Coturnix japonica: one gene and its partners. The protein of the gene in region 1 purifies or fractionates together with the protein of each later gene. This does not show direct contact. Links are inferred from orthologs where the notes say so. Each region holds a gene or a part of one and is shown in the gene's direction. Other genes may lie near its edges.

Evidence for each region.
Region 2: the proteins of SKP1 (region 1) and PTAR1 purify together in Homo sapiens (co-immunoprecipitation; 3 studies listed by BioGRID and IntAct, with this or other methods). This does not show direct contact. The link is inferred for Coturnix japonica from reciprocal best matches to the Homo sapiens genes SKP1 and PTAR1.
Region 3: the proteins of SKP1 (region 1) and ARHGEF6 purify together in Homo sapiens (affinity purification with mass spectrometry; 3 studies listed by BioGRID and IntAct, with this or other methods). This does not show direct contact. The link is inferred for Coturnix japonica from reciprocal best matches to the Homo sapiens genes SKP1 and ARHGEF6.

The regions. Positions count from the first base shown.
Region 1 is NC_029528.1:2,251,536-2,254,623, reverse strand, and holds the end of SKP1 (S-phase kinase-associated protein 1), read left to right. Parts: intron 1-138; coding exon 139-282; intron 283-943; coding exon 944-1,084; intron 1,085-1,271; coding exon 1,272-1,307; 3' UTR 1,308-2,503; downstream 2,504-3,088. UniProt on the Homo sapiens protein: Essential component of the SCF (SKP1-CUL1-F-box protein) ubiquitin ligase complex, which mediates the ubiquitination of proteins involved in cell cycle progression, signal transduction and transcription.
Region 2 is NC_029547.1:31,243,752-31,247,403, reverse strand, and holds part of PTAR1 (protein prenyltransferase alpha subunit repeat-containing protein 1), read left to right. Parts: intron 1-1,566; coding exon 1,567-1,736; intron 1,737-3,652.
Region 3 is NC_029519.1:4,241,834-4,245,485, reverse strand, and holds part of ARHGEF6 (rho guanine nucleotide exchange factor 6), read left to right. Parts: intron 1-807; coding exon 808-954; intron 955-1,580; coding exon 1,581-1,667; intron 1,668-2,401; coding exon 2,402-2,480; intron 2,481-2,640; coding exon 2,641-2,774; intron 2,775-2,854; coding exon 2,855-2,980; intron 2,981-3,652. UniProt on the Homo sapiens protein: Acts as a RAC1 guanine nucleotide exchange factor (GEF).

The DNA.
Region 1 (3,088 bases):
GATGATGAAACATGAACATGTGATTCTAATATCAATCCAGATTGAGAAGTACAGTGCTCCTAAAATAAAGTTATGTGAGAGTTGGGGCCTAATGAGAAAGTCACCTGGGTAAAAGTTTGTTATCAAAACTGTAATTAGGTGATTCAGTGGTGCACCCATCACAAAGATGATCCACCTCCTCCCGAGGATGATGAGAACAAGGAGAAAAGAACGGATGACATCCCTGTGTGGGATCAAGAATTTCTGAAAGTAGACCAAGGAACATTGTTTGAACTCATCCTGGTAAGTATTTGTGGAAGCACGAAGGCTGTGCCTGCACAGTGACCTCTGTTTGTGTGCTTTAAAAATAAGGCTCAATGCTTCTTATTCTAGTAACTTCTTAATGCAGAGAATATGGGGAGGGCAGCAGTTCCAACAGTGGCTGCTGGCTGAAACTGGTGAGTGGTGGATGCTCGTTAACATAAAGCTAGGCACTAATTTATGCCTGCTTATCTATCAGTTCCCATACTTGTCCGTAGTTGTGTCCCTACAGCCGTCTGTTTCTCTTTCATGGCTGTTGGGTCTGTGACAGCTTGTTACTTGTGGTGGTGTTTTAGAGCTCTGCAGAAATGGGGATTTAAAAAAAGCTGGATTAGTTTCTGATGTGATTCTTCAACCCGGCAGCTCCTGTCTGAGCTGGATGACAGCACTGAGGTGTCCAAGGTCTCAGCTGTGCAAGGTTCCAAATCCTTGTGTAAAAGGAGATGGGGCTTTCGTGGTGGAAACAGCCCCTGTTTGACAAGGAAACTGTAGACAGTTAATTCAGGGTTCCAGCTGGAAGCTTTGCAGTGATTTGGCTCTTTGTGGTTATAGCATCTGCAGTGCTGGGAGCAGAACTTCAGTTGTACATCTGCAGAGGCAGGAAGTTGATCTGGAAGCTTTAAATTTGGAAACTGTTTTACAGGCTGCAAATTACTTGGACATCAAAGGTTTGCTTGATGTCACATGCAAGACAGTTGCCAACATGATCAAGGGGAAAACTCCAGAAGAAATTCGCAAGACATTCAATATTAAGAATGACTTCACTGAAGAGGAAGAAGCACAGGTACTTGATTTGGACTTTATTAAATTAATAATTTAGCTGTTTTTCAGCTGCATTAACGTGTGATGCTTCATAATTTCATAATGTTATGCCTTTCTACAGTAAGTAAACACCAAATGCTTATGGGAGTTTACGTTTCGCTTGAGCTTCTGAAGCTCTGCAGCACATCACAGCTGCTTTGTTCTTCCAGGTACGTAAGGAGAACCAGTGGTGTGAAGAGAAGTGAAGCGCCGTGCCTGATACTCGAACACTGTAAGGATTGTTCCAAATACTAGTTGCACTGCTCTGTTCATAATTGTTAATATTAGACAAACGCAGCAGCAAATGAAGTTACGTTAGCAGGATATTGTTCCCTTTGCATGTGTAGTGGGTTTTTTTTTTTTGAGTATAAATTTCAATCTGCGTTTTTATTAGTGTGATGGGGTGTCTTTTTACTTTACTCTGCAATGAATAAAACTGAACCAAGTGTGGATTCTGTATGGGAAGTAGCACTTCAGGTTGTCATCTTCATTATACTTTTTTTTAACTGTTCCAAGTCCAGTTACGATCTTAAGCGTTGACTCCACCGTTGTAAATAAAACCACCTTCGCTTTCTTCCTCAGGAAGAACAAACAGTGATTTACAGGGTATTGATGGCTTCAGAAAGGAACATTAAACGTGTCTCGGGGAGCTACGTAAAGCTTAGGAAAATTGTTGGTTTTCTTACAAAAGCTTTTTGGAAAATTGGTGTTACTTAAAGCTGTACAATTTTAAAGAAAAAGAAAAGATCTGCCCTCTTCCTTGTCCCGTTGGTCCTGTCTGATAGGCCAGTGAGTAGTGCAAGATGTTATCTAGGTCATCAAGTGAGCTTCTGACAGCAATCTTGGCATGAATCTTGGCATGCTTCTGCTGTGTCTTGAAGTCCTGCCTCCAGCTGGTAGAGATGGGATGTGCGTTGCTTTCTGCACAGGACAGGTGTGTTTTTATCCTTTTTCTTGCTGAAAGTGGAATCCAGGTTTGACCAAAAATAACTGACATTACCAAAGTTCAGATTACTGACCTGTGCATGCCATTAGTGGCTGGTTTTTAGGCAATTTTAAACTACCCTTGTGATGTAGCTCTTGAAAACCTGGTTTTCGTGTATCCATGGGAGATCTTTTTGCCTATGTATGTGATACTTCCGCTTGTAGAGACTTCTTATTGCATACAAAGCTAATGCAATATTGAGCTTGACTTCTTTGGACAAAGCCACTTGCAGTTAGTTAAACAGTAACTGGTTTCCTGATCTTTATTTTAATTTTTTTACAGTTCCCTTATAGGGAGTAGGGGGGTGGTGGTTTTGTGGTAGATCTGAGGTGTGCTCTTAGCTTGTATTGCATTCCATTCTCTGTATAAATCTTAGAGTAGAATGAACCTTAATAAACATACTTATCTCACTTTAAATATCAGTGTTTCACTTCTGAATTAATAAAGGGCTTTTCATCTTGTATTTACAGACGGTTCTAAATGTTTGAAACTAAACCTGTCACTTATGAGTGTGTGAGAAACAGTAACAGAACTGAGGGAGTGGTGAACTGAAATGAAATTGTTCTGTTTTAAATGATGAGAATGCAAACTGCTGGTCAGCGCCAGCCAGTGGCTCCTCATGTTGAATCTGAACCTAAATCCAGATGGGTTTTTTTTTGATGGCTTATCAGCTTTGAGGTAATCTTGCTTTGATGTAACCATTAATGAAAGCATTCATAACTTGCTGTAAAGCAGTGCTCAGATCCGTGCTTTGGAGGCAGCTGCTGGTCACATATGCTAATTCATAAGGCTGCTGGGCCCGGCTTTGTGCTGCTATAGCATTGTCAGTGGGCATAAAATGCTCCAGTGTTAAACACTGGGACGTTCAAGGCCTGCCAAGCATCCTGTATTGTAAACAGCACAACTCTGTTACAGTACCACAAGTGAAAAGCTGCTGGTATCTGCGCTTGTGGTTCAGTGTTCAGCTTACCCTGGATTCTTATAAGCAACAAATCCATCTCT
Region 2 (3,652 bases), on another chromosome or scaffold:
TCACTATGCACCCTCATAAACAGCTGTTCCCTTCCTGTTTATATGCTCCTTTCAAATACTAGAAAGCCACAGTGAGGTCTTCCCTTTGTAAAGGAAATGAAGACAGCAGGAAGCACAAACTTCAAGCTATAAGGCACCATATTGAAAGCATCAGAGCATCAGTCTGTAATGTCATTATAAGTCTAACCTGAATATCTTTGTGAAAGGCTTAATTTTTTTGAGTGGAACAATATAGGTGGAAATCACGTACTGCTTGCAGTTCGGTAGGTAGTAAAATTGAGTGTTTCCCTCTTTTTTTTTCTTCTTTTTTTTTCCCTTTTCTCAGATGAGTAGAGATGGAAGAGATGGGTAAGGGACCTGGGTGTGTGTCTAGAGACAGAGCCAAGTAATTTGCAAGTATCTTACCTCAGGTTATTTGTGCTCTTTTGCTGTCTGACATATTAAATCAGTTTTCTGAGTAAGCAGGTATACTTGTTCTTAAACAAACACATGGTGTCATTTTCAATTGCTTCACTAATAATCCACTGAGGACAGTGAACTAAATCAGTACCCTCAGATTATCCAGTAACAAAATTAGCATGTGGTAATTGGGTTGAGATTACGGGGTCAACACTTGGGATGTATCTATAGACCTTGTACTGAAAAAAAATAAGGTTCATCATCATTCCAGTTTTGTTCCATTGAACAGAATTTGATGGTGAAATCACACATGGTAGAAAGTGTAGAATTGTATTCCTTTTTGTCCAAGTGAGCGTGAATAATTGGCAGTCTGTTTTTGACTTTTAAGAACTGCTCTTTCATCATCCGTGTATGCTAAAAGCTAAGGAAAAAAATAATATAGCCCCTTGAAACTAAAAAGCCTGAGATGCTTCTGCTTTGTTTGCAGGTATGAATTTTAGTTGCCATCCTTTGTTTATTTCTAGATGGTTGATTAAAGGTTTAATATAATAAGTACATAAAAAGGACCTTCTCTGTTCAGGATTTTTGGGGAAACCTTATATAACATTTCTGAGTAAGTAGAGAAAGTCCAGAATCACAAAAAAAATTTACATGGCATTTAAAGGACTTTGAATTCATGCTTGTTTATTTAGTAATGATCATTACATTGAGACTCTTCAGCATGTCTGTAAGTGTTCCTGTTTTTCTCCTTTTGCAGTACTGGAGACATAATACACATTTTGCAGAGACTCTTCCTAAAACCACAGCTACCTTTTATGTTGTATCTGAATAGATTGTAAAGCAATGTAAAATATTATGGGTTTTCTGTTGGTTTTGGGTTTTTTTGCTCAGATTAGGTCTTTATTCAGACCAAAATGTGTTTGCATCATTTATTTGCTGAGTTAATTGACAGCACAATTATGCAGGAGATTACTTTCTAAAAAATGCATTTTATTGTACCTGCAAGTCTGAGTAGAAGCAAGAAAGATGAATTGAGAATAATGAGCACAGATTTTGGTATAAACAGGGGGAAAGGTGATGGACTGACAGCTGAAGTTTTGAAAAACATAATTGTCAAATACTGGAAGTAAATTTAATTGCATTTCTTTCTGTTATTTTTTTTTTAAGAGATGAAATTGGATTAATACCCTGTCCTGAAGCAAGATACAATCGGAGCCCAATAGTCCTTGTGGAAAACAAACTTGGTGTGGAGAGCTGGTGTGTCAAGTTTCTTTTGCCCTACGTCCACAACAAGCTTTTACTCTACAGACAGAGAAAACAATGGTTGAACAAAGATGGTAAGTTACCCTGTTGGAAATTAGTACCTGATTCTTAGCATACTTTATTTACTTTTATTTGACATTAAATTGGACTTTCTTAAATGTAGTTCAACCTGCAGTGAAAGAATTGAATGAAATCTTAGGGAAAGCTGGCTTTGTGTTGTGTATCACCAGGGATTGTTTATTGTTTCTCATTTGAAAATGCAAACAAATCCTTTATCTTGCCCAAGCTGGAAGTGTTGGAGAGATGACTTACTCCCATGAATGATTAAGGAAAGTAGTGTTACTGTTTGCAGAAGGAATGATGATGTCCTGTGACAGGAAGGCAGCTGTGGTAACATGTGGATCTGAAGTAAGAAAGAAGTTCAGTGTTTTTTTGGACCTAGGGGTACCAGAAGTTGTTTATTGAAGCACTTTGTTAATTGTAAAATTCTATCCTCTTTTTTCTTTCTCTGTTGCTGATGTTCCTCTCTTTCTTTTTAGTTTGTTTCACTTGCATGAAAAATACTTCTGCATGGTTTTGTCTATTTTGAATTATGAAAGGTGTGGTGCTGGAGATACTTGTTTACAAAGTAACTTTGTTTAAATTGAGAATGAAAAGGGTAACTGTAGTTTAAGAAACTTTTTGCTGGTGGCTTCAGGTCCCTTCAGCTTAAAAACTTTTCTTTCTGTAGTCTTCTCATTTGGAATCTCATTTGTTGAGACAGTGACTCTTTTAGGCAGGTTTGGGTGTTTTTGTTTGTGGTGACACTGTCTGTTACATTCCCGTCCATTCAGCAGGAATGGCGAAGGTATTAGGGCTGTTCAGAAAGTTTTTCTGCTTCCTTCCCAGATGAAGAATTTCAGATCCTCCCTTCTGGAAACATAGGTCATAAAACAGTGTCAGGAAATAACAGGAGTGGTGTGAAACTTAGCAAATGGCGTATTTCTTTATTGAACATCTCTGAATTTTCTTCCCTTGGAGAAAAACTGCCCTTTCCTTTGTATTTTTAATTATTGAAAGCCAATGTACCTTGCTTGAGAAGAGATGACCTACAGTATTTCCATTGCTACCAAGTCTTTGTGTAACTACTGGAAAACATGTTGGAGACCTCACCATATTAGTAACATGTTTGGAAGCGCTGTACAGCTTACAACATTTAATATGCTTTACCATTAAATTGTAGTAGAAAGTGAGCAATCGTGGTGGAGGGCATGACAAGAGAGGTATTTTCCAGATTGACCTACAGAATTGCTGTTAACATAGTTTAAGCTCTTTATATTAGAAATATATTATCCTCTGTACTGGGACAGATGTTTAATTTTATCATGGTTTCTTTTGGAAGTTTGATTAAGAAGGTTTCTTTGAATCCCAAATCATGACTTTTGCTGGTGTTCTAGTTTATAAGTTTTTCTCCTTTCGTCAAGTTGTTTTAATTTATGAATGCAGACTATCTGTGATGACCCAAGACAGTAATCTGAAATTGCTACAGATATCTTTTCTTTTTGTGCAAAATGCTGTTCTGCCTTACTTCCTTAAGCCCGTACTTCCACCTTTAAAACAGCTTTCTGAAAAGCATGCTAATGTGATCTATGTAAGTTTGGATACAGTCATGTTTGGGGCAAAAAAAATAAAAAGGAGCTAGAAACCTGGTCATACTTGCCCTCCTCTGTCTGGAGAGACATCTTATGTCCAAAAGGATACCTGCATTGTAAGCATGTAGGATGCTGTATTTTGCTTTTTGAATTTCAAATGAAGTACGTGTTGAGTTTTGTTACTGACACAGAACTCAGTGGCAACTGGTAACATGTGCTAGATCTGTCATACAGCTTTCTATGGAAAAAGGCTCAGAGGTTTCTGAAATTCTGTCATTTGTCATCTCTGGCTTAGAATTCAAGCTGTGTGAAATCTACACCTGCTCTTTGCTGCACAAAATTACAAAGAAGATCAAACT
Region 3 (3,652 bases), on another chromosome or scaffold:
GATAGATGGCTTTCTTTGAATTGTGCACTGAGCAACTCAATGTAATGTAGGACTAGAGGGGTTCGCTGTGGGTCTGAGGTTTGATGGGCAGGGATGCTTCTCATGGGCCCACTGTGTCTGGGGTCAGAAGGTGAAGGCAGTGACTGCACAACCCTGCTGTGTGCTGCCTCTGCTTAGTCCACGAGGGACCTCTGAGCACTTGGTATGAATTTGCTCCACCAGTCCACAGTTGTGAGCATCGCTGCAGCCTTGTGCAGCTCCAGAAGTTCCCTTTTGTGCTGCTCCACTGCACCGCATCTCGCTGCAGATTCTGATAAGAAAATATCTGCACATCTGATCTCTAGGGGCTGTGCACCACTGCAGGGATAACTCCCTTTGCTGCTTCAGCAAAATGGGATGAACCTCTGAGTACCAGCAAAATGAGAAACGTTTAGCTGTGCGGCTCCCTTGGTTTGGAAAATGTGACCCTGTACTCTCAGAGGTAGAGCTGGTTTGGAAAGAAAAGTTTGCTCAGTGCAATTGGTTTGGAATCTGAACATATTCATTACACCATAAATCAGCGTGGTGTGATTCTTGACAGGGTTTGGGAAGCAGAGCCGAAGCAGTGATGATTTCACAAGATGGCAGCTGTTTTTTATGAGTGATAATATTGACCTTGGCTGGGTTTTTGTCATCATTCTGGGTTCCTTTTGTGGTAGAGGAGTAGAACTGAGCCCAGCATGGCTGATGGGTGAAACCATCTTCATTGGGATGGTCTGGGTTTGTGCTGGCCCTTTTGCTAATGGAGCGCTCTGTGGTGATTTGCAGTCGCAGTGCCAGGAGCTGAGGAAGAGGAAACAGCTTGAGCTGCAGATCCTTTCTGAATCCATCCAGCGCTGGGAAGGAGAGGACATAAAAACAATGGGAAACATCATCTACATGTCCCAGGTCATGGTGCAGAGCGGGGGCAGTGAGGTGAGTGCATCTCCTGCACGAAAGCATCATGCCCCAGTGCTGTGTTAACACAGCATGTTACTTTCCCTCTTTTCCTCCATGACTTACTCTGAGCAATGAGAAATGAGGGTGCCTTGTTGCTATCTGTTAATGACACCTGTTGCCATGTCCTGCATGCATTCTGTGACAGGCAGAACCCACTGCCTAAGTGTCACACCTGTACCTCCAGCAGGCACCCATCAATAGTGTTAGACCCATTAATACTGTGTGCTGGGTGTCTGCTTGGTGGGTGGTGCCTGTTAGCATTGACTTGTTTGCTTCCCTATGACCTGTTCTGCAAAGCCCTGCAGAGTCCAGTCCCCAAGTTCTGTTTGGGATGTGAGGTGCTGGGGACATGAGGTCTTGGTCTTCTGATGGGGAGGGGAAATCAATTATATCTTCAGAATCAGCAGGATGCGGAAGGAACTGTTTGCTCAGAAAAGCCAATGCAGAAATAAGATGCTGTAAAGAAAAGAAAAAGCCAAAATGAGTGGTTTGGGGTTGGTCCCTCTCAGATCGTGGCTGCAATTGCAGCAGGTTTGGTTTGCTGCAGGGGAGTGCTTGTGCTGCACTTCAGACTGGCCTAACCTCCATTCTTGTCCTGGCAGGAGAAAGAAGAGCGATATTTCTTGTTGTTTTCAAACGTTTTGCTCATGCTGTCTGCAAGCCCGAGAATGAGTGGGTTCATCTATCAGGTAGGCATGCTTGATTTGAAGCTGCAAGGCATCGGGTGTGGAAAGGATATCAGATATCTCTTCATCAAATTTGAATCTCTGTTGTGATGTAAATGGGCTGGGAAGCTGGGCTGTGTTCTGCCACATGTGCCAGGGCACACTGCGAGCACCTCTGTGCTGCCAATGGGTTAGACAGCATTTGGGAAGTGTGAATGCTCTGCAATTAGAACACAGAACCACACCAATACCTGTCCTGCATGCTGTTCTCAAGCATTCGGTGTGTGTTGGGTGTCCTGAGCTCACTGTGGGGTTTTTCCCCATACAAACTGCCTGTTAGTGGATGATATCTCACAGTCATATGTGAAGGTGATGAGGCAGATGGTGAAGGTTTGGGAAGGATTTGGCTGAGTTTTGAGATGTCACCCACCAGTGGGAGGGAGGTGAGCAGGCAGTGCATCACACAAAGCAGAGGCACAGGGAAGGTGTTCAGAAGGACCAGGGAAAGTTGGTAGTCCTGACTTCAGTGTAAAAAGGGTGAGTAGAATGAGTGGCAGGTGAGCCTCTGCTCAGGGGTTTAACCTGGTTGTGCAGGGAAATTTAGATCCATACATCAGAGGCACCTCTTCCTACAGTCTGAGGCTTTCACAAAATAGTTTCTAATGGCAGTTCCCAGAGAAGGGAATCAGCAGAAAGGAGCAGAACAACGCCCATGCAGGAGGCAGTCGCAAACACTGATTCCTGCTCACTTCTCCTAGGGAAGGCTGCCTTTAACAGGAATGACGCTGACAAAGCTGGAAGATGCAGAAGGGAATGAGCATGTGTTTGAAATCGCAGGTCAGTGTGTGGCCTCTTCCTGGGGCTGCTTGAGTGCGAGCAGCAGCTGCCACCAGTACCAGTTCTCCTCCTCTTTGCTCTTGTACTGTGTGCTGTCCACGTTCTGGACATCTCCCCATGCCAACCCAGCTAAAGCTGGCTGTTTGACCCCCTGTTGCAGGGAACATGATGGAGCGCATCACTGTGTCCTGCAGCACCAGCCAGGACTTGCACGAGTGGCTTGAGCACTTGCAGAGGTTGACCAAAGGGACGTGCAACACCGTGTCCAAAACACAGTCCTGGAGCACCCATTCGGTAAGTGAGCTCCCTCCCAGCCTGCCTGCTGCCCGCTGTTCCTCAGTGCTGGCTGAGCTTTTTCTCATCCATTTTCTCAGACATTTGGCTCCACCGGTCAGATCCGTGGTCCCCTGGAGCCCCCCAAAATCCTCAAACCCTGGAGCTTGAGCTGCCTCCGTCCCGCTCCTCCCCTCCGACCATCGGCAGCGCTGAGTTACAAAGAGGTAATGCCGTGTGCCTGGTGAGCACTGTGATTCCTTAACACTTGTGTTCAGCCATCTTACCCCAGTGTGGGTTTGCTGCTCCTTTAGGCAACAGGGATGCTGAGAGAAAACGCTGTGCAAATGAGTGATGCATGCTGGTTGCTGCAGCTGGCTTTGAGCTGCAAGTGAAGCATGAGCGTGTGCATTTACAGGGTCAACCCCATCCCCGGTGTCAAGCCCACAGCTGCACTGAGGGACAGGTCTGGTGTTTTGTATGATTTATACCTATGTTTTGGTGGCCCGAGCAGAGCGGTGCAGCAGCCGTGATGTTTGACCCCATATTCACACACCCATCACCCTCTGGGATGTGTAGCATCCCCCGCAACAACCCCCAGCCTGAGGTAGGAGGCAGCATGGGGAAACCCAAAATAAACCCCTGCTCCCATTCTCACCCCCCACTGCAACTGCAGCATCGTCCTTCCCTACCTTGCATTAAACTTTTGGGATTACTCACCAGTAACGTGGCAACGTTCCTCTTACTGACTGAGCACTCCAGTTCTGAGTCACCGGCCTTTCTGGGTACGGCAGTATGGGAGCATCACTGCCTGGGCTCCCAGGAGGAGAGAGATGGGGATGGGGACAGGGCTCATGGGCAGCTCAGCCCCCCAGCACGCAGGGACAGCGCCCACAGGG